3 linked regions of the Elephas maximus indicus genome follow. The protein of the gene in region 2 binds, or shares a complex with, the protein of the main gene of each other region. Links are inferred from orthologs where the notes say so. Each region holds a gene or a part of one and is shown on either strand. Other genes may lie near its edges.

Region 1 (7,608 bases), on a different chromosome or scaffold from region 2:
TATCTAATGCTGATCTCATTATGCACCTCCTTGCCCATAGTTCTAGTGAAAGTATCACCATCACCATCGCCCACAGCTAGAGAGTATAATCTACTTCCATCTCCTCCAAACCCTCCCCAATGATTTCCCCTCTCACCCACCTACTAAATCAATTGCCAAGTCTTCTTACTGTTAAACTTCTGTTCTCATCCCACTGCCATTGTCCTTGCCCTGAATACCATATTCAAAGTCAGTTTTCCACAACAGATCATTCTACACACTACACAATTAGACCTCAATAGCTTCTTATCACTTCCCAAATGTTGAACTCCTAAATACAGCATTTAAGCATGCTCCACAATCCAGCTGCAACTTAAATTTCAAACTTGATCTCTTATTCCCCAAAATGACCCCTATATCCTAAGTAACCTGGTCCACGAGCTTTTCTCTGAGTACACAGTGTACCTCCCCACCTCCACGCTTCTGCTAACGCCATTCTCTTTATTTGAAAGGCCTTCTTCACCCACCTACTACTTCCAACCCTTGAATCTTTGTCTTAGAACTCAGGTTACTAGTTACCTGATAGCTACAAAAACCTAGGCAAGTTAACATATTTGAGCCTCAGGGGCCTCATTACTAAGAAAGATGCTTACACGGCTGTTGTCATCTTAGAAAATACATGTAAAGCAGCTAACATAAGGCCTGACATTCACTAAGTGCTCAATAAACAGTAGCTCCCGCACTATCCTTGTATTACTATACTTCCACATTTCCCATTATTACTCCCACTGAAAGTGAACCCTTTTTCCTTTTGTACAACTCCAAACTTTGGGTCAAACTGATCATGGGGTATTTACATATATTTCTTTATGTTGTAAATATTTATGCAAACATCTTACATCCTCCTACCAGATTTCAAATCCCTGAAACCAAAGGCTTGATCTTTGTATCCTATAATGCCTAGCAGTGTTTTTCACTGCTAGCAACACCCATCTTCAATGTTAAGTCCCAACTGCCTAAACAATATAATTCTCTTCTTCATGATTTCTGACACCTTAGAAAATTATTGCCAAAACCGAAATTTGAGTTGCTATGGCTGTATCTTTTTATGCTCCTACATGGTTGTCTAACATAAGCTGATGCACAGCAAAGGTTTACTATCTGTTGAATTAACGTGAATAATATAATAAAATTTACAATGCCTAAGAGCATCTGATTTCTGTCATCTTTTTCTGCTCTTACAATTCCTGAACTATTTCCTTTCAAACCATATTAACTATCAAACCTTCAGTACAAATCTGTAATCATATCTAACTTAACTCTTTCTCCAAATTCTCTTAATTTCAATATTCCAACTTTATGCTTTAACCAATTAAGCAATTCAGGCTGTTAGGAATCTACAGCGCTCCTGTAAGTCAAGCAACTAATCTTCCCTCCACAATATTTTCCAGAGAGTTTTTAAAAAATATCCACCCTTTGAGATAAAATTTTCTTTGCATAGGAGAACTACTCACTTCAGTCTATCTTCCCTAATTCATGATATTACCTCCCCATACATTGAAGGAAAGGAGAATAAGTACACCAAAATAACTGTAGTATAAGTCCTAATATAACCACAAGATAAGAGGTGCAGAAAAGTACAGAAACTTCACTAGTTTCATGAAGATGGTCAATGTATACTTCACACTAAAAAATTTAAAAAAGAAAAAAAAAGTCATCTGCTCATAGCCATAATCTGCTGTAACTACATTCTCTTATGGCCATAATTTTTTCTTTTTTTTTTTAAATCACCATTCGAAATGGGAAAATCTTATTTCCCATAATCTTTCAACAAGTCTATATTATTTAAATCAAAAAATAACTACATCCACCCTCTCTTCTAGGAAATTCTCAATTTATTCGAGGTAAACACTTCCTAAGTTACACACACACACACCCTCCTCTGCCCACCTGTGTGAACCTCTCTCTGCACTGCAGCAACAGCTGTAACAATGTAAGAAACCTCTGAGGAGTAAACAAGAAAAAATTTTCTTTTAAGTGAAGGAAAATAACAGTTTCAAGTATGAAGATAAACTTCGGGACAGAAGGTATACAATTCTTCAACCCTTTGCAAGCAATTCCAAAACATGCAACAACCGCAGGCTGAACTCATCATACAACCGTGACTTCAGGTAGCCACGGAATCAGGAGTGCAGATGTGAAAAGAACATCATTTTTTTTTTTAAGTCTGCAAGAAAATACGGGAGCTTACGTGAAGTACTGATTTTTCCCAAGTAAGTTTTCTGTTTTGTTTTGAAGTGACTTCAATAAACGCTTCAGCAAGCTTTTAAGTGAGTAAAGATCATGTGAGGCAAGCCGATGCCACCGTGACCTACGTATCCAAAACCCGTTAAGAGCGCCGTCCAAATCGGCCCAGCACAACCCCAAAGCGGGTCTCCGTGGAAAGCATCGCAAAAGATCCCCAGCAGCTACGCACGCAACGCCCCACCCTGCAACTGAGGAGACGACACCCCTGAGACCTGGGCTAATTACTGAACCCGAGAACAAACCCATGGAAGACCAAAGTCGGGGACTGGAGCCCAAGATTGAGTCTGGTGTCCGAGTCGCTAGCTCCCAGACAGACACCGTAAACCAAGTTGGGGAGGCGGCGCTAAGTCTTGGGGGAGCAGAAACGAAGGGAGTCGGACCGACCGAGGCCCAGCCTATTCCCACTCCCGAGTCCCAAAAGCAACAACAGCTTCGGGAACCCCCTCCCCGGCTCCGCCCCGTCCATCCCCATGGCCCAGCTGCCCCGCTACTTCCCGCCCGGACGACTCGGCGGAGACCGCGGCGGCCCACAACCCGCTTCCCTCGGACCCCGACAGCCGAACCCGCAGCCCCGAGCCCAGAGAGGGCGGCGGGGGCCCGAAAGCGCCCCAACGCGGGCCTGAGGTCGTCCCAGTCTGCTCCCCCGTCCACTCACCGTCGGCCTACATGCCGGGAGGGGAGAGGGCGCGGGTCAGGGAGCGCAGAACCCCAGGTTCCAACCCTGGCTGGAGCCCCCACTTGAGAGCCGTTCGAGCTTCAGCTGCTTTGCCTACAAGGCCTCTCTCCGGCCCGAACCTTGGAAAAGCACTTCCGGGGGAGCGGGGAGGGAAGGGTTTTGGCACCGGAACTGCTCTCGGGCTGGAGCTGCCAGGGCCTCCCGGGCAGGGCGGGGCGGGGCGGGGCGGGGCGGGGAAGGGCGGGGCCTCTCCGCCCCGCGCCCGCGCAAATCTGCACCTAATCCGCCCCGCGGCTCCACCTTAACCCTTTACAACCCCGCACCCTTTATTTTTCTCGTGTCCGGGTTGTTCTACTCACTCCGGCCACCTTATTTCAACGACGAGGAAATCGAGGCTCAGAGAATTTAGTTGCAAGAATCCAGCGCAGACACTAGGCCTCCCGGCTGTCTCCAGTGTTCTTTCCACTCCAATCTTATTCCTTTAAAAAAAATAATAGCTAACATTTATTGAACACTTACTGTGTGGTAGACACAGCAATAGGCGCTTCCCTTATGTTAATTTATTGAATCATTCCCAAAACACTGAGGCTGGTGCTATTACCTACATCTTGCAGAAGAAAAAACTGGTCAAAGATTCCAAACCCAATACCACAAACTTGGCTTTTGGTTTTATTTTAACTCATATTGTGTATATAAATCTCATCTACCCTCAACGAAATATTTAAGTTCTTTTAGGGCAAGGACCAAATCGTATTCCATAATCACTTGCAATTTCGAAAGAGGACAAGAGCTGAGGGACTCTGGAATCACACCACCTGGTTCTGGTTATTTTTCACCAGGGCAAGTTACCTAACTTTTCCAAGCCTCGATTTAAAAAATGGCGAATATATACGTGGTGGGAGGGGGGGGCTGTTGGAAGAATTCTAGATGATAATGCATGATAAACACGTGGCAGAGTACCCCGTACCAAGATAAAGCAACCAAACCCCTTGCCAGTGGAGTTGATTCCGACTCATAGTGACCTTATAAAACCTATTGCTGGAGAGTTGATTGCGACTCACAGTGACCCTGTAACACAGAGCAGAACTGCCCCCACAGGGTTTCTAAGAAGCGGCTGGTGAATTCGAACTGCTGACCTTTTGGTTAGCAGCCTAACGCTTAACCACTGCACCACCAGGATCAACAATTCTTATACCTCATCGACAATAGGAACAATTTCTCTTCTAGTGGAGTCACTCTAGCAGAGGGTGATTAGGAAAAGTGTGGGTTAGCAATAGAAAAGGTCAGTTTAAGAAATAACAAAGAAACAGAGGTTTTTGCAATGTGAAAATTGAAGGTAAGTGAGCCAAAGAATGACCCAGGGCCAGCTTGAATGCTTCTGAAGCTGTGAACCGAGAAAATGTGAGGACCCACAGAGTCAGATGCCAGGCAGGCAAAGGAGGGAGGTAAGGAAAGAAAAAGCCACAAAATCAGAAAGGCACAGAACATTTTAGGCAGATTCTGTATCTGAGCCCAGACACAGGAAAAAAAAAAAAAAAAATGCCTCTTAGTATGCACACTATCTGCAAAACAAATTTACAAGTATCTCTTGAAACTGTGTGGGTGGAAGATTTTTTTTAATTTTCTAGTAAGGGGAAATGAAAATAGTTCAGAACTCATTATTACAAATTTCAGATGCAAACAATGCCATTACTATTGACTTTATTTATAGTGCAGTTTTATTTATTTTATTTTTGTGATCTTAGAAGTAATCTTAATTATTTTATTTTTGTGATACTTCCTTAATACCCAAATTCAAGCTGCCTTTCTTACTTCCGGGTGTGAAGAAGTAAAAAGCAGAGCCTGGGTTGGCAGGACTGAAGTCTTCTGTTTCCACCCAGGCCCTAGAGGAGTATTGAGTAGAATCCTGAATCACAGAGTGTCAGGCTCTGTGCCCACGGAGAGGTACTAGAGGTGGTCATTTAACCTGGTCATCTAACTGATAAATGTTGCAGCCATGATATTAATGCAAGTCTGTCTTCTCAAATGCTGTTCACCACCATGCCAGTGGTTCTCAAACTTGTCAGTGCATCAAAATTACCTAGAGGGCTGGTTAAAACACAGATTGCTTGGTCCCACCCCCAGAAGCCTACCGTGGCTTCGCAAAGTGAAGTCCCTGGACCAGCCACTTCAACATCATCTGGGAACGGGTTACAAATGCAAATGATTGGCCCAACCCTAGTCCTTGTGTATCAGAAACTCTGGGGTGGGACCCAGCAGTCCATATTTTAACAGGCCTTCCAGGAGATTCTGACATACTCACAAGTTTGAGAACCACTGCATTTTACTGTCTTCCACATATTACTCTGTCGAAGCAGAAATTCTTCCCACTGAACTAGATAATGTCTTGAAGCATTTTAATTATTTTTTGCCCTCAAAGGGAGATTAGGCTAGAAAAAAAAAATAGCATTAATGGCAGATTCCTTTTTTGATTACTTTAAATTTGTACAGAAACTTAACCAAATAATATTGGGATGGGTGGGGAACTAATGTCCTTTGAGAACTACTCTGTGCCAGGGGCTTTATATGGATTTTCTAATTCAATTTTCACTATACTACTATGAGGTTTTATGGTTTTAATTATTCAGATGAGAAAAACTGAAACTTAGGTGAAGTGACCAACTTAAGGCCACATTCTGGTTAAGTGGCAGAATCAGGATTGTTCAAACAAAGATCCCTCTAATTCCAAATCCTATGCTCCTTCCATTTTGTGGCAGGAGCTTTGAGAACCAAATTCCAGTGTGGTCTCCACCACCCCAACTATGCAACATTGAGTAAGCGATTTAATCTCTGTTTCAATTTCTCCATCTATAAAAAATGGTGTCATAAATCTGCTCCTCCTACACTGGAATGTCAGAACAAATGAAGAAATAAAAGTGTAAGCACTTTGAGCTATTTGAAGAAAAACAGTAAAAAGGCAAGTCATTACAGAAGTGTCTGTTTACCAGGTGTTGCTATGTGAGCCCTGGCATTAAAAGCTTTCCTGGTTATCTCCTGATTCATACATAAGACACTGAAAGACCATACTTGATGTCAAAGAAAAAGTTGAATTCATTTGTCAGTGTCTCCTGGAACTGCGAGGAGATGATAGAGGATGTCATGCATCTGTTTTAGAAATCACAGGGAACTTCTCACTGGTTGACTTTCTTCGACTCCAGGTTATTACCAGGTTGCTGACCCATCCTAATCCTAGAGGTCTCTTCTCCAAACCCTTTTTTGTCCCCATCCCAGGCACTCCTTCATTTTTCTTCCTTCCACCCAGTAGGGCAAGACTTAAAATTCCTGTTACTTTATCATGTAAAAGGTTTTGGTTCTCAATCCCCATCTCAAACCAGATTCCAGGCCTATCTTTGTTGACAGAATCACCAGGTTGCACAATTCCAGGGAGTACCATTCACAAAGAATACAATGTGAATGGTGCTCAAGGGGGTGCCAATTGCACAGACCATGATAGGAGTGCTGACCCCCTGGAACTGTGCAAGGCTGTGGCATAGCTCCCACCCCAAACTTCCATTAAGGTGTTTTGTTAAACAAAAGAGACATCTACCTGGGTGTCCACTCTTCCCCAAGCTTTAAAATAATGGGCTTCTTTGTTTGTTTTCTGTTTGTTTGTGAGCCTGATCAAATACTTAAACCACCCGGCTTAAGACCTGAGATCTACACTTTAATATAGCATTCTTCGCTCTCTTCTGCGATATTGTTGCCTATCTCCCCATTAGACTTGTGAGTTTCATGAAGACTTTATCATATTTTGTCCTCTTCATGTTTTATTCGTGCCTTGACACAAGTGCTCAAAAAGCATTTGCTGATTTGAACAACAGCATACTGTACTGTTAGTACACATTGTGAAATAAAAGAAAAAAATAGACATCTTACTTTGATTTCAAGGGGTGTCTCTTGCCCATGAGCCCAAAATTAAAAGTAAAAATGCTGAGCCAAAACTGATCTTGCCTGCAGCCTTGTTAACTTGTTTTTCACCCAAAACTGGTAATTTACTTTGCAACGTTGCTGTGCCTCTTGAAGAGGGTGGTCGATAACAAACGCATTACTTACTGACGTAATGAAGAAGACTGTGTGCGCCCTTAATTTTAATTTCAAGAAGTCTTATAGTTACAAAGGAGCCCTGGTGGCATTGTGGTTAAAGCGCTCGACCTTCAACCGAAAGGTCGGCAGTTCAAACACACCGGCCGCTCCAGGGGGAAAAGATTTGGCAGTCTGCTTGCATAAAGATTTACGGCCTTGGAAACTGTGGGGCAATTCTACTTTGTCTGATACGGTTGCTATAAGCTGAAATCCACTGGACAGCAACCGGTTTTTGGTTTGGTATAGCTACAAATATGTAAATAAACAGGTTTTTCAGGTACTTTTTAGAAAGTATTTCGCCACCATAGAAACTTATATTCATTAAGAAAAAAAAGAAAAAACTACACCTTAAAGATTTGTACAAATGAGTGCCACCACCACCACCCCCTCAAGTCGGGCCAGAGACTACCTAGTAACCTGATGCTGGCTGATCTCAGTAAATCAGCAGAGGGGTGTGTGTGGAAGGGGACGGGGAGGGTGGTTCAATCACCTTAAGATTAACCAGTGGTTGATTTTCTATCCTA
Region 2 (7,843 bases):
AACAATTGTGAGCATGGTGCAGGACTGGGCAGTGTTTCGTTATGTCGTACAGAGGGTCGTTGTCAGTCGTAACCGACTCGATTGCACCCAACAATTGTTTTTGTATGATTTCTAGTTGTGGATTTATTTTGGCATTCCTGTATTGTTTTCCCGAATTCTTCCATTATTTTTGGTCTGCCTTTTCCATGAATTCGTCTATTTTTTTCTTCATTTTTGTCTGCTTTTTACTTCAGCTCTTAGATAGCTCTGAATATTAGAGATTTGAATTCCCTATATTTTTTTTATGATCAGGTAGTTCTAGTGACTTTTCTTCTTCTGGAAAGTCACCTGATGTTTTATTTTGGATGTCCACTGGAACTTTTTTTGGGTACTGGAACCAACCTGTCCTTTTTTTTTTAAGCATGTTTTCATATTGTCTGCTGTCTTCAGGACATTCAGTAGTTCTATTCTTCATTTATTGATCGTAGATTTGTTTGTTTTATCCTGCTTTTTTTTTTTTGTTTTATTTGGTTATGTCTGAGCAGGTGGGCTGTGCGTTCTTTGTTATTTGCTTGTCTGTGGGTACGGTACTCTTCACCTCCTTGTCCAAAGGGCAGGGCCATTCACTCAGCTACGGTGTAGCAGGGCAGGTTCAGCAGGTGCTCTGTCTCCTGCCGGGAGCTCTGTGGATCTGCTTTCCTGTACTCCCTGTCCACTGCTCTTTGACATGGGCGGGGTGAATCCAAGCTGCACGGGGCCTTCACCTGCATGGAGCGCTCAGCTAACTAGAAGTGATGGATGCTCAGCAGCGGGGAGAAGGATGGGGGGTGGGAAAGTGTATATCGCCAGTTACCAGGTGCTCTGTGTCCTGTTGGGAGTTCTGTGAAGCTGCTTTCTCCTACTCCCTGTCCGCTGATCTCCGACAGGAGTCCAAAATGGTGAATCTGTGCTGTGTTAGCTGATAAGGGACCTCTGCATGTATCTTTCTTTGCTCTCCATTCTCTGTCAGCTTCTTCGTCTATTCGGTGCTTGGCTGAGTTATTTATCTCTTCATTTGATGCTTAGGGTTTCAGGACTGACATTTGTCTCCATTTTACTTAGTTTTTTTGAGTCTTTACTGTGGAGGGATGGCATGGTGCTTCAGTCTATAGCACCATGTTGTCTCCTCTTCCTTCCAAATTTTCATATGCTGTGTTTTCAACTTCTTTTTGACTTCTTCTTCATCTCAGCACTGGATACTGTTGCCTTCAATCCTTTCAGTGGGCTTTTCTCTGGTCTCAGGTACTTTCCTCGCCCACACGTGGTAGTCAGTTCTCCGCTGAATACTGAAGATCTTTGGATTTCTTTCTCTGTGCAACTCTTGCCTCCTTCTACTCCCTCCTTGATTTTCCTGGACTCTCAGCTGTGCCTTCTCAAGTCAGGGAACCCTATGGACTCTGCCTGGGTTCCCTCTCCCTGATCCATGGCCTGAGGTTATCTGAAGGTGGGGGGCTCAGGCAAGTGTAGGGCTCACCTTGTTTTTTTCCCATGCTTCAGTTTTATAAAATGTTGTTTCATATATTTTGATATCTTCTCACATATCAAAGAGAGATGGCTTGGTTATTTTGCTCGGAAGTTAAATCTGTTCCCTAAATACTCCTTAGAAACAGAAGTTGGCATTATCTTTATTTTTTACAACCTGTATTGGATGTTGAAATCAATTTATTAAAACTACAAAATGAACCAATGTCACTGAACAATTTGTGTAGAAATTGCCAAATGGGAACCTAATTTGCTGTGCAAACTTTCACCAAAAACACAATAAAATTTATTTTAAAAATTAAAGAAAAAAAACCCCAAAATAATGTAGAATAGAAAAGAAAATATGCATTGCATGTATTAAGGGTAAATAAGTTTTATTATGTTACACTTTGTTCAGTTATATGTATGTGTGTACTGGGTTGGAGCCCTGGTGGCGTAGCGGCTAAGAGCTTGGCTTCTAACCAAAAGGTAGACAGTTGGAATCCATCAACTGCTCCTTGGAAACCCTATGTGGCAGTTCTACTCTGTCCTATAGGGTTGCTGTGAGTTGGAATCGATTCTATGGCAACGGGTTTGGGTTGTTTTTTTTTTTTTTTTTTGGTACTGGGTTGTGATGTAAAAGGCATTTCTTATTGTGGGTCATGGTCAAAATAATTCGAGAAACACTGTTCTAGGTACTTCATGGTCCAGTACAGGTTGATGTTCTTAGTTGCTGTGGAGTCATGGTGACCCCACGTGCAACCCCATGCCTAGTCCTGCACCCTCCGCATAATCAGTTGCAGATTAGACACTTGTGATACATAGGGTTTTCATTGGCTGATTTTCTGAAGTAGATCTCCAGGCCTTTCTTCCTAGTCCTTCTTAGTCTGGAAGTTCCGCTGAAACCTGTTCAACGCCATAGCAACATGTGAGCCTCCACTGACAGATGGGTGGTGGCTGTACATGAGATGCATTTGCTGGGAATCAAACCTGGGTCTCCCCACATGGAAAGTAAGAATTCTGCCAGTAAACCACCAATGCCTTCCTGTACAGGGTAAGAGTCTGTAAAACTTCATCTTCATCCCTGCATTGAAAGATTCACATGATCTTGGGAAAAGTATCTATTTCATTTTGTTCATTTGCTGTAAAACCAAAAACCAAACTCAGTACTGCCAAGTCCAGTCAGATTCATAGTGACCCTATGGGGCACAACAGATCTGCTTCATAGGGTTTCCAAGGCTGTAATCTTTATGGCAGCAGACTGCCACATCTTTCTCCTGAGAAGCGGCTGGTGGGTTCAAACCTCCAACTTTGCCGTTAACAGCTGAGTGCTTTAGCCACTGCACCACCAGGGCTTCTGTTCATTTGCTATACGGGTCGTATTGTTGTTGTTAGGGACTGTCAAGTCAGTTCCGACTCATAGCGACCCAATGAACAACAGAATGAAATACTTCCTGGTCCTGTGCCATCCTCACAATCGTTATGATGTTTGAGCAGATTGTTGCAGCCACTGTGTCAATCCATCTCATTGGGGTAGACTCTTCCTTGGAGGGGGCAGCTTTTCCCCAGGTGAATTTTGAGTGCCTTACAAACTGAGGGGCTCATCTTCCAACACTATATCAGACAATGCTTTGCTGCTATTCATAAGGTTTTCACTGGCTAATTCTTTCCAGAAGTAGGCCATAGAGGTTGTATAGTTCCTGAAATGATGCCTGTGAAACATCTTGTAGGTCTTAAAATTTTAAAGTTGAAATATATCCACAATTTCATCAGCTAAGACATATTAAGTGATTGCCCAGTATGTTCCATGCGCCATGGATGATAAGGTTGAGTCACCTGCTCAGAGAGAGGCCTTCCCTGCCTCACACTGGAGCATACCTGGCTGCTATAGGAGGCAGGAAGTAAGGTTTCATGAAGTGCTGTGAGAAGTTACAGCACAGGGAAGGCTTGGAGATTGTGGACCTGGCAGGAAGATTGTGGAGATGGTAGAAAGAATGTCTAGAGGAATTATTTAGAAGTCATTGCAGGGAAAAAAAAAAAAAATTTTTTTTTTTTTCATTGCAGGGTCAGAGATTAAGAAAGTGGTAGTGTGCAGGGACAGTTTGAGGAATCACGGTTTTAGTTTATTTCATGTATTCATTAAACACACATAGAAAGATATATTTTAACATCTACAATGTCCTTGAGATATGTCAAGGAACCAGGCAGATAAAAATCCCTGGCCTCATGGAGCTTGCATTCTACTGGGATAAACACAATAAACAATGAATATAATACGTAAGTAAATGATCTGTTAAACGGCCATCAGGACTATGGGAGAAAAGCAGAGCAAGGGAAAGGGTGATTAGCCAGTTCTAATTTTACCTGGGAGATACTCAGGGGGATAAACTTCGGATCTAAATATAATAGTAGTATATATCTATTACAAAAAATGCTAAAAATACTGGAGCATAATTGGAATCTTCAGGTCTACAATCCACTCTAAAACTCAGATCTTTGGACGCTGCATTGTCACTTAGCAGCCACTAGGGCGCAAATGGGCCATTTGGAAGAAAATAGGGTGAGAGTGGGGGTATGAAAGAGATGCAAGGAATTATGTACCCCTCTCAATCGCAGATGTTCCGAAGGGGCAGCTCTGCTTCAGGAGACCGGTAAGAAACGTGGGATTTTACTGCGTGACCTGACCCAAGACATCTTTGCCCTCAACTTCCTTTCCTTAGCATGTCCTCACCCAAGTAGGGGATGGGGCTCAGAGAAGGCAGGAACTTCAGCCTGGCTGTTCAGCGTGTCACAGGCAGGTAAAGGTGGTGAGGCAGATCTACTGGCCATGTCTTCGTTGCCAGCAGCGAGACTTTGGTAGCTGCGCGGGCATTCCCACGGTACACTCAGCGCCTAGGGTCTACACAAAAGCCCCACTGGATGCTTTCGGTTCACTTGTAATATTTAAGGCGTCACTGAGATCCGAGCATTCATCTTGAAGTTTGGATTTCTCTATTCTTCCCACCTCTAGCCTCTGTGGGCAGATTAATGACCATTTTTGTCTTTTGGAGGAGACCTCAGTCCATCGCCCTCTCTAGCGCCTAGGGCAGTCCGCCTTTTTCTGAAGCAGGAGCTGGGCAAGGCCAGAAGGGCCACGCATCGGGCGTACCCGGGTGCGCACGCGTCGGGCGCAGCTGGTTGCGCATCTGGCTACAGAGCGCGCCCCCGACACCGCGCGGGTCGCAACCGCGGCGGTGGGCTGGTGCTCCCGAGCGTGCCGGGCGCTTTCTCCCCGCGCGGGGGCACCAGAGCCCTCGGAAGTGTCAGGCACTGCGGTGCATTTTCTCAGTTCCCTTTTAAATGACTGCGGAAAAACAGACTCTCTGAGCCGCAAATGGGAAGACGGATTCTAAGACAAGGCTCGCGAATGCCCCGGAGCCATCATTTACCTGCGCCTGCAGAGCAGTTACGGTTTATCACTCGACTCGTCCGGATCGCCTCGTTTGTCCCTAGTGAGACCCTGAGGCTTTGCCCGCGCCGGGCTTCTCGGTAGCTGAATGCATGTCGTGCTCCAGGGAGCGCGGGCACAGGGCACGCATTCGCGCACACCCGCGCACACACGAACACGCACAAGGTACGGCAGGGGAGTACGGGCTCGGGGTGCCCCGAGTAGGGGTGGGTCTCGCGGGGAGTAAAGCTACGACCTGGGAACGGCTGCGTCCTTCCAGGTTAAAGAAAAAGAGAAAATGACGCGGCGCCACACATTGGACAGGCCAAGGCTGCTTCCGCGCATTTAGGAAACCCAATACGGGTCAGGCGAGCCCCCTTTCCTTCACATGGCTCTATTTCCCAAGCGTGTGATGCCAGAAATCGGCAGAAAAAAGACCCACTTAGAGAGCCCAGAGTTGCGTTTGGAGACTCCCCTCCCTCTGCAAAAATACAACAGGAAGACCTTCCAAAACCACCGATCCCCAGATAGGTGGCCCGGAATGGGGGTGGTGATCTTTGGTTGCCAATGCAGAACACTTTTTGGTATTTACAATATTTATTTATTTTTAGGATAGCCCGCCCTCCCTTTTCGGCAGGGTGGGAAAGGAGAACGCAGCAGGGAGGGGTTGGGAAGATTCCTATAATAAGAATCAGCGCATTTTTCAGAGCTGAACCGAGCCCGGTTTCCATTTCAAAAAAAGGCAACAGCCTCTACTGCAATTGTAGAAGAGACTGCGGTGAGAATTAGGGACCTGGGGGCTGGGGGAGGCGTTGAGTGGAGGAATGGTCCATCTCAGAGGTACCTGGATCTAAATGCACACACGCACACACACTGGCGCGCGCGTCTACACGGCCAGGATGTGTGCGTGTGTGTGCGCGCGTGTGAACTCCCACATGCTGCTGCTGTCTGCTTCTGGCCAGTGGCACCCGTACTTCCCTCCTCCTCTCTCGCCCCCAGATTCTCCTCCCCTCCCTGTTGCTTTTGTCTGGAGGGTGTTATGGGTTTGTGTGTGTATAAGCGTGTGTGTTTTTGGATTTCAGACTAATTTTCTGGAGTTTCTGCCCCTGCTCTGCGTCAGCCCTCACGTCACTTCGCCAGCAGTAGCAGAGGCGGCGGCGGCGGCGGCTCCCGGAATTGGTTTGAAGCAGGAGCCTCGCTCGCTCCTTCTCTTGCGCTCTCCGCGGCTCAGTGCCCGGCGGCGGGAGGAACGTGGATCCAGGCGCCGCCGGCGGGTGGGAGGCGCCGGAGCCTGGGTGAGCAGCGCGGGCAGTGCCCTTCGTCCCCTCGGCCCTCACTATCCCCCCTGGGGCGGCCTCAGCGGCTCCCCAGGTGGGACGCGCCGCGCCACCTGCCCGCGCTCCCAGCGCCCAGCGGCCGTGGCGGATTCTGCAGCATCATTCGGGGACCCCGTCGCGGAGTCAGCACCGCCGGCAGTCTCAGCGTCCCCCTATAGAGGGTCCTTCGCCCGGCCTACGCCATGGAATCCTGTGGGGGGGACTTTTGCCCTACCTTCCCTTCCCTGACCTCAGGCTTGGAGAGAGGGTGGGCGCACTGTTTGCCCCAGCAGCGTCAGTGCCATCGTGGGGCAAGTCGATTTCTAGGGGCCGGAGCGGGGCCCTCATCCATCCATGGTTTCCCTGCTGGGGTCGGGGTGGGGGTAAAGGGAGCGCAAAGGGAGAGTACCCCAATTCGCGGTGTCTGGGGTCCCACGCTCAGGCTCATGTGTGTCTATTTGTCTTCAGCCTCGAGGTACGTCCCGGATCCCCGTGCGCATTTAACCAGGAGCCTGCGCGGGAGCCAGTCCCGGGAGCGCCGCCGGCCGGTGCCCACCGCGCCAGGCCATGCAGCGGCGGCCGCGGCGGAGATCTGAGCGGCGGTAGCGCCCCCTGTGAGGTTGCCCTCAATGCCCCAGGCACTGTGAACCGTGCCGCCAGCCGGGACACACTCAGCCCCGGAGACGCTCGGCTCTGCACGCCGGCGACCAGCACCGACTAGTCGAAGGACCGGCGAGCGCGGGGAAGGCCGCTCGGCGCGGGCAGAGGAAGCCGACCGGTGCAGCGCGAGGACACGCACTTGGGCTGACTCGGACTGGCACTGGCGGCTAGGGATGTCGTCCTGGACGAGGTGGCATGGACCCGCCATGGTGCTGTTCTGGGGCTTCTGCTGGCTAGTTGTGGGCTTCTGGAGGGCTGCGCTCGCCTGCCCCACATCCTGCAAATGCAGCGCCTCTCGGATCTGGTGCAGCGACCCTTTTCCGGGCATCGTGGCATTTCCGAGGTTGGAGCCTAACAGTGCAGAGCCTGAGAATATCACCGAAATGTGAGTTCCTGATGCTCTTCCTCCTTTCTTTCTTCCTCAGCCCGAAGGTTCCCTCCTCAGCACTAGGGCCCGGGCCTGCCAGGCGGGTACTTTCAGGGCGTGAGTGCTGTCCCAAGTCTGGGGAGAAGTCAAATGAGAAGAGATGGAGGGAAGGGGCGCCTGTCAGTTTACCTGGCTTGGGGCTGCTAGCTCAAGGAGAAGTGTGACACTTTTATATACATATATATGTATATGTGTGTATGTATATATACTCGGTACAGAAAGGAATTCCATATATACTTTATATTTGAAAGCCCTGCTGAGTGTGCTTTCGGCTTTCCATATGATATACAATAACTTAGCTTTGGACATTTTTGTGCCATAAGATGCTATGTTTGTGTCATGTTAGAAGTTCCAGCAAGATTTAAATAGAAAGGTGGTTAAAATAATCAGCTTTCCAAAATCTGTCCAAGGAGGTCTCTCCACCAGCATCTTTCTGTGAGGTTTGGTGTTAACCAATTTCCCTTTTGATTTCATAGATCAGATTTTGCTTAGGAGATTGCAGCCAGAGATGGCCTTGGACATGATCTGTAAGAG
Region 3 (7,058 bases), on a different chromosome or scaffold from region 2:
ACAACTGAGTTGAGCTATATTGAGTTGTATAATCATGTGAGTCTCGTAGGGCCAGTTCAGTAGGGTCATATGATTGACTTGAATTACATTGAGTGTGTCATTGTATGAGTCCTGTAGGAATGTTGGATTGAGCTTTACTGTATGTATGTATGAGTTCTGTAGGGCCATGTTGGGTTATTTAGGATTTAGCTGTAGCACCAGGACCCAAGGATAACAACATAGGGGAGGAATTATGGATGGGGGAGTGAGCATGGCGTTGTGGGCCCTGAGAAGATATGCCAACTGGCTTAGCCAGCGTAACTCCATAAGGGAGCAAGGTTGGATTCTGTATTTGTGGATTCAGCTATTCATCCGGAGAGGCGCTGGGTGAACCAGGGAAATGTGGACACTCCTTCCATTCACACAACCTGCTTTGTTTTGCCATTCAAAACCCTTCTCTATCTGTCCTTCTCTGCATTTTTGCTCTCAGATAAGGAGATTAGGGCCACGGGAAGAGGGAGAGGAGAGAATACTGTTTGTACCCTGTTTAGACATAATGGGGGCACAGACACCAAAAGCAGGATACAGGGACCCACAGAGGTATTGAATTAGAGAGAGAAGAAGGGACAGAAATTCAGAGAGGAGGAACAGAGACCAAAGAGAGAGGGACAGAGACCTAGAGTAAGAGGAGGGAGAGAGACCCTGAGAAAGGGGAATAAAGACCCAGAGAGAGAGGGGGACAGAGACCTAGAAAGAGATGGGAACAGAGACCTGGAGAGAGAGGAGGACAGACAGTCAGAGAGAAAGGGGAACAGGGACCCAGAGAGACAGGGACAGACACCCAGACAGAGAGAAGAGGACAGAGACCCAGAAAAAAGGGGATAGAAATTCAAAGAGAGAGGCGGACAGAGACCAAGTTTGGAGGATAGAGACCCAGAGGGGGGTGTGAGACCCAGAGGGGGGTGTCATGCACCAGAGAATGACAGACACCCAGAGATGGAGACAGATCATAGAGGCCCCAGAGAAAGAGAACCAAAAGAGGAAAAGGCAGAAAAAGTCAATACCCCTAAACCCAAGAGAAAGACACAGATTCTCGATTTTACAAAACTATAAAGAGATCCTACACCAGGGTCTGTCGCCCAATCTCCCCACAGCTCAGGAAAGCTGTCAGCCACACTGGGTATCTCATCTGCTTTCCAGGGGAGAGACCCAAGTGTCAGAGAAAGGGAGAGGCTTTCCAAGGTCGCAGAGCAAGTTGCCAGGGCCGGAACTTGTGGCAGGCTGCCTGACTCCACATGCCCCCATCCGCCTGGGACACCCATGGCCTCTCAAGTTCAGTAGCCTCATTTCTGGCAGATAAAGAAATTGAGGCACAGAGGGAGGGGTGTTACCTAAGGTGGCAAAGCCAAATTTTTTCAGAGCAAAAAGGGCATTTGGAGGACAATGATAATAATGGTGATGTCGATGGTTATAATCACTAACACATACAGGGCTTCCTACGTACCAGGCATCAATCGAAGGACTTGTATTAATTTATTAAACTCATCCAGTGGTTTACAGAGTATTGTTGTCATTGTTTTTGGATATAATTACCCTTCCCCCCCCCTTCTTTAATTTGGTCAAATGAAATCTTATTTAGAGGCATCAGTGGGAAATGTCAGAGAGGACCTGGTTTGGGAGGAACACACATCCTTTCTAGTTCTTCTTGGCAACTCAAAATGCAGCTAAGGAATTCCATTTGGAAACGACTGATTTAATCCAACCACTTTTTTATACAGAGAAAGAGAGAAAAAGGTACAGATAATGAGAAGACTTTGGTAAAGGTTGTAAATAGTATAACTTTTTTTTTTTTTTTTTTTTTTTTAGGTAATTACTTCTTGCTTAAATAGAAAGGAAGTCATGTCTAGAGACAGAAATGGAGACAGACCCCCTACAGTGACAGAGACAAGCAGATGCTTAGAGTGAAGACCCCAGCACAGAGACCCAAAGAGGGAGGTGGATGCAGAGAGGGACTGAGACCTGGAGGAAGGGTAGCAATTCAAGGGGAGGAGGTAGAGCAAGAGAGAGGAGGACAGAGACCCAGACAGTGGGACACAGGGACCCAGAGAGATAGAGGAAGACAGAGACCCAGACAGAAGGGGACAGAGACCCAGAGAGAAGGGGACAGAGACCCGGAGAGAGGTGGGCAGAGACTCAGAGAGGGGGACAGAGACCCAAAGAGGGGTGACAGACCCAGAGAGAGAGGGACAGAAACCAGATAGAGGGAAGGACAGAATCCGGGGTGGGGGGGGGCGAGACCCAGAGAGAGGGAGACAAAGACCAGAGAGGAGGGGACAGAGACCCAGAGTAAGGCACAGAGAGACTCAGAAAGAGGGACAGAGACCCAGAGAAAGAGAGGAACAGACACCTATGGGCAGGGCAGAGCTTGAGGAGACCCTCCCACTATTTTTGTTACCCTTCTTTGAAAACTCAGCCCTGCTACCTCATCAGAAACCTGACTTTACACAGAGCCCCTGTGGTAGGGGGTGGAATGAGGGAAAGTGTGCTGAGGTCAGGGAGATGACCCAGAGGCTGGGAAGGTACTCCTCCCCCAGCTCCAATAAACAACTGCAGCCGCCTTCTATGCACCCTTGGCTGGGATGAGGAGGTGGAGAGGGGAACACCCTAACTAGGGGACACCCTTCCTGCCACCTTGCCATGCTATATTTAGGCTGAGGGAGGGGTACGGGATGACCCCCCAAGACGGGTGTCAGCTTTCCTCCTGAAAATAGCTCAGGGGGAGGGGAGTGGAGTCCCGGGGTGGAGGTGTTGTAGGGTGACCGGCCCTGTGGTGTAACTGTCCCGGGGCTCTCTCCAACTCCATCTTTCTTGGGGTTTCGTGGGGTCTCTGTCCCCCTCTCCCTGAAACTCTGTCTCCACTCTTTGTCTTGGTTTCTGTCACTTTTTATTTCTGTGCCTTTCCCCTTTTCTGCCTTCATCGTTCACTATCCACTCTTTCTCTAAGCAGGTCATTCTATTAGAAATACACCTTTACGTGAGTTCCATACTACCTGCAATTTCTCTTGGCTGAGCTCAGGGCCCGACGACCCTCTCCACAGTCCCCACCCAGGAAATTCCAGGATAGAGGACCATGTGGGAGAGCCCCCCACATTCACTGCCCCCCAGGGCCTCGGATCTTATCACTGCCCAAGTCCAGCTGGTTAATGTCTGGCACGGAGCTCCTGGGAAAGTGGGGATGTGAGCAGAGGGTGGGAATCTGCCCCAGCATTGACACTAAATTGGCAAAAGAAGGCAAAAGAATCTCAAAGCCCAGACTCTTGGATATGACGGAGGAGGGGGCTGGGGTCTGACTCCCGAGTGTGAGGAAGGAGGGGGCTGGGGGCCCAGACCTCTCAGTCTGAGGAAGGAGGGGGCTGGGGGCTCAGACCCCTCAGTCTGAGGGAAGAGGGGGCTGAGTGCCTGGACCCCTGACTTTGAGGGAGAAGGTTGGGGACCCCAACTCCTGGGTCTGAGGGAGGAAGGGGCTGGGGTCCTGGACTTCTGAGTCTGAGGGTGCTGGGACCCGTACTCCCGGGTCTGGGGGCGGAGGGGGCTGGGGGGCCCGGATTTCCGGGTCTGAAGGAGGAGAGGGCCGGGGCCCGTACTCCTGATTATGAGGGAAGGCGAACTGGGGCTGGGGAAGCCCTGATTTCCAGGTCTGAGGGAGGAGGCAGCTGGGGGCCCGGACTCCCGGGTCTAACGTAGGAGGGCGCAAGGGGCTGGGATTCCTGGGTCAGAGGGAGGAGGGGGCCGGGGGGCCGGGGGCCCGGACTGCCCCCGGGACCGAGAACCGCCACGTGCGAGCTAGCGGCCCGGCTCCCGCGGTCCGGCGCGAGTGGAAGGCGGCCCCGGCCCCGCCCCGCCGACGGCCCGCCCCCGCCCCCGCCCCCGCCCGCGCCCCCGCCCCGGGCCCTCCCGAGCGAGTGCGGCGCGGAGCCGGCGGGCGCGGGCGGCCCTGCAGACAGCGAGCGGGAGGTGGAGCCGCCGCCGCGCCAGGGGCCGCCGAGGAGCCAAGGACGGCGCCCCAGGTAAGAGCCTCCCGCCTCCGCCCCCGGGATGCCGGCGTCCGGGTCGCCCTGCCCCCGGGTGGGGAGGGGCGGGGGCGGGGCCGGTGGGGGCGGGGCTTGGCGGAGGAAACTGAGGCAGGAGCGCAGTGTCCGGGATATCCAGTGCGTCCCCCCCCAGCAGGGTCTCAGGAGTCCTGCCCTTCAGTCCAAACCGTCTGGTGGAAGGAGGGGCCTGGGAGTCTGCATTTTCAGTACCTGGAGAGGAGGGACCTGAACACCAGAACTCCTGGGTCCCGAGGGAGGAGGGTCCTGCGGGCCCATCAACTCCCTGGTGTGAGGGGGGAGGGAGATTGGGGCTAGAACTCCTGGGTCTGAGGGAGGAGTGGTCCGGGATTCCTGGACACCTGAGTACACGAGAGGAGGGAGCTGGGGGCCGGACTCCCGGGTCTGAGGGAGGAGGGGTCGGGGACCTGGATCCTGGGTCTGAGGGGAGGGAGCGGGGGCCTGAACTCAGGATCTGGGAGAGGAGGGCCTGGGGACTCGGACTCCTGAGTTTGAGCGAGGAGGGGACTGGGGCCCCCCGACCCCTGGGTCTGAGGATGAGGGGGGTGGAAGCTGGGACTCCTGGTCCTGGCTGGGGCAACATGCGCTCCTCTTCACACCCCACCCTTTCCGTTTCCCATCTCTGCGCCAGGGCAAGCAGCCACTCCAGGTATGTACTGTAGAAGTCTTGGGCGGGCCCTGGCCTGTCCTGTGAGGAGGGAACATTCCAGGAAGCAGCCTCGGGGACCCAGGGCCCTTAGGGACCCGGGTGTCCAGGCCCGCCCCGCGCCGCCCCCGCCGAGTCTGGGAGATGAATGGGCCGGGGAGGAGGATGTAATCTTTTCCAGCCTCCTCCATCCGCTGCCTCTCCCCTCCCCCCATCCCAGCCAGGAACCATCACCTGGGCAGGGAAGGGGCCTCTGGGAAGGGGGCGGCCCAACTCCTGGGTACCTTGTGTAGTAAGAGGAAAGCAGGGAAAGGCATATCAGGGTCTCATCCCTCCCCCCACCTGTCTATCCAATCTGCCTGTTCCTCCTTCTCCCTAGGTGGTTGCCCCCTCCTTCTCCTGAAATGTCAGGAAGGAGGGGGCCAACTGTGTCCCCCACAGGGGCCCCCTGGAGCCTGGGGGCCCCCAGCCCGGGAGCTTGGAGGCGGAGGAGGTGCTGACAGGTCTGGTAACCACCCCCTGCTTCCCAGCCCTCTCCAGGATACCCTTTCCCAGATCCACGGGCTTCTAGAATATTGTAGAGGAACTGCAGTAGCCACACCCCCCACAGCATCTCCCAGTCCTGGGTCTAGTTCACAGACAGAGAAACGGAGTCCTTGCCTGAGAGGGGGAGTGTCTTGCCGTGTTAATGGCAGTTTTCAGCTGAACTTGGGTCTTCCCAGGATCCCAGAACTTGGCCTTTCTCAAAATTTTGGAACTCACACCTCCTCCAAGCAGCAGGATTTGGGGTTCCTCAGGGTTATAGAGGTAAGATGGGCAAGTGAAATTGCCCAGGGTGGGTTCAAGTCCCGTCACTGTCGCTTGCTAGCTGTGTGACCTGGTGCCTGTAACAAGTCTCTCTGAGCCTGTGTTTCCTCATTTGTTTGTTATTATTACTGTTGTTAGTTGCCATAGGGTCAATTCCAACTCATGGCGATGCAGAGTAGAACTGAGCTGCTTAAGGTTTTCAGGGCTGTGACCCTTCAGAAGCAGATTGCCAGCCCTTTCTTCCGAGGCACCTCTGGGTGGGTTCAAAATACCAATCTTTCAAGTTGAAAGCTTAACTGTTTGCACCACCCGGGGACTCCTCGTATTAGTAATAGTAATAGAATATTTATTACTAATTTAGAAGTTGGGTATTATCCAAGTCCCAGAATATAGGGTCCTTAAAAATTCTAGAACAAGGGCCTCACCATGGTTCTGACATGCAGGCTTCCCTGGGGTTCCCAGCTTTTGCAGTCTTCTCTAACCCCAGCTCCCCCTCTCTCTTCAGGTGCTCAGCAAGATGCTCCCCCACCTCTCCAGCTCTCTCCCCATCCTCCTCCTCTTCCTCCTCCCCAGCATCCCATCAGAGCCCCGTCCCCCACCCACACCACTACCCCCATTTCTGGCCCCTGAGTGGGACCTCCTGTCCCCTCGAGTAGCCCTGTCCCGGGGCGCCCCCACAGGGCCCCCCTTGCTCTTTGTGTTGGAGGCTGGGGCCTTTGGGGAGCCTGGGGGCACTCCAGCCAACCGCAGTCGCCGCGGGGTGAGTGAGACAGCACCTGCCAGTCGCAGGGGTGAGCTGGCTGTGTGCGATGCAGTCAGTGGCTGGGTGACAGACCGCCGGACAGCCGTGGACCTGCGTGGGCGTGAGGTGGAGGTGCTGGGCGAGGTGCCTGCAGCTGGCGGCAGCCCCCTCCGCCAGTACTTCTTTGAGACCCGATGCAAGGCGGAAAACGCTGAGGAAGGTGACCCTGGTGGGGGTGGCGGGGGCTGCCGGGGTGTAGACCGGCGACACTGGGTATCTGAGTGCAAGGCCAAACAGTCCTACGTGCGGGCATTGACCGCTGATGCCCAGGGCCGTGTGGGCTGGCGATGGATTCGAATTGACACTGCCTGCGTCTGCACACTCCTCAGCCGTACTGGCCGGGCCTGAGGCTGGGCCCGGGAACTGGACAGGCCAAGGAAGAAGACACCTGGATGCTGAAGGACCTTGGGGAAGGCCTGGCTGTGCTGGGGGTCTGTTTGCAAATTTGTCAAATGCATGCCAAATCCCAGCTCTTTGATTTTAAGAGCTCAATCTGTGTAGGACAGGTGATAAAACCAAGTGGGGTATTGAAAGATGAATAGTTCTGCTGGAGGATAATGATGATGATGATGATAGCCAATATTTACTTAGTGTATATCAGCCCTAATACATAACACCTCAGCTAACTCTCTTGGATTGGACCATTGGAGGCCCTCAGCTTCTAAATTGCTGACCCTTCATTTTCAGAGGATACTGCCTGGCCCACCCTGGAGAG

Evidence for each region.
Region 1: the proteins of NTRK2 (region 2) and FRS2 are in contact, whole or in part, in an NMR structure (PDB 2MFQ), measured with the Homo sapiens proteins. The link is inferred for Elephas maximus indicus from reciprocal best matches to the Homo sapiens genes NTRK2 and FRS2. Residues at the interface, in NP_001018074.1 of Homo sapiens: Pro498, Asp499, Val501, Ile503, Gly504, Met505, Thr506, Lys507, Ile508, Pro509, Val510, Ile511, Glu512, Asn513, Pro514, Gln515, Tyr516, Gly518, Ile519; in NP_001036020.1 of Homo sapiens: Val26, Asp27, Asp28, Asp29, Gly30, Tyr59, Leu60, Cys61, Leu62, Arg63, Arg64, Tyr65, Gly66, Tyr67, Asp68, Ser69, Asn70, Leu71, Phe72, Ser73, Gly77, Arg78, Ile86, Ala88, Lys90, Phe98, Gln102, Met105, Gln106, Ser109.
Region 3: the proteins of NTRK2 (region 2) and NTF4 are in contact, whole or in part, in a crystal structure (PDB 1HCF), measured with the Homo sapiens proteins. The link is inferred for Elephas maximus indicus from reciprocal best matches to the Homo sapiens genes NTRK2 and NTF4. Residues at the interface, in NP_001018074.1 of Homo sapiens: Phe291, Glu293, Thr296, Ser297, Asp298, His299, Cys302, Pro304, Thr306, His335, Val336, His343, Gly344, Cys345, Asn350, Thr352, His353, Met379, Gly380, Trp381, Pro382, Gly383; in NP_001382418.1 of Homo sapiens: Gly81, Val82, Ser83, Glu84, Thr85, Ala86, Ser89, Arg90, Arg91, Gly92, Glu93, Leu94, Ala95, Asp98, Ala99, Ser101, Gly102, Trp103, Thr105, Tyr135, Phe137.

The regions. Positions count from the first base shown.
Region 1 is NC_064822.1:130,637,757-130,645,364, reverse strand, and holds the start of FRS2 (fibroblast growth factor receptor substrate 2), read right to left. Parts: upstream 3,034-7,608; 5' UTR 2,942-3,033; intron 1-2,941. UniProt on the Homo sapiens protein: Adapter protein that links activated FGR and NGF receptors to downstream signaling pathways.
Region 2 is NC_064827.1:101,995,764-102,003,606, forward strand, and holds the start of NTRK2 (BDNF/NT-3 growth factors receptor), read left to right. Parts: upstream 1-4,792; 5' UTR 4,793-5,092; intron 5,093-5,599; exon of another isoform or gene 5,600-5,684; intron 5,685-5,840; exon of another isoform or gene 5,841-5,988; 5' UTR 5,989-6,201; intron 6,202-6,690; 5' UTR 6,691-7,055; coding exon 7,056-7,267; intron 7,268-7,843. UniProt on the Homo sapiens protein: Receptor tyrosine kinase involved in the development and the maturation of the central and the peripheral nervous systems through regulation of neuron survival, proliferation, migration, differentiation, and synapse formation and plasticity.
Region 3 is NC_064829.1:99,427,618-99,434,675, reverse strand, and holds NTF4 (neurotrophin-4), read left to right. Parts: upstream 1-3,988; 5' UTR 3,989-4,046; intron 4,047-4,159; exon of another isoform or gene 4,160-4,187; intron 4,188-4,719; exon of another isoform or gene 4,720-4,737; intron 4,738-5,113; 5' UTR 5,114-5,237; intron 5,238-5,456; 5' UTR 5,457-5,541; intron 5,542-6,046; 5' UTR 6,047-6,058; coding exon 6,059-6,691; downstream 6,692-7,058. UniProt on the Homo sapiens protein: Target-derived survival factor for peripheral sensory sympathetic neurons. May promote ameloblast differentiation and subsequent reduction in proliferation of ameloblasts.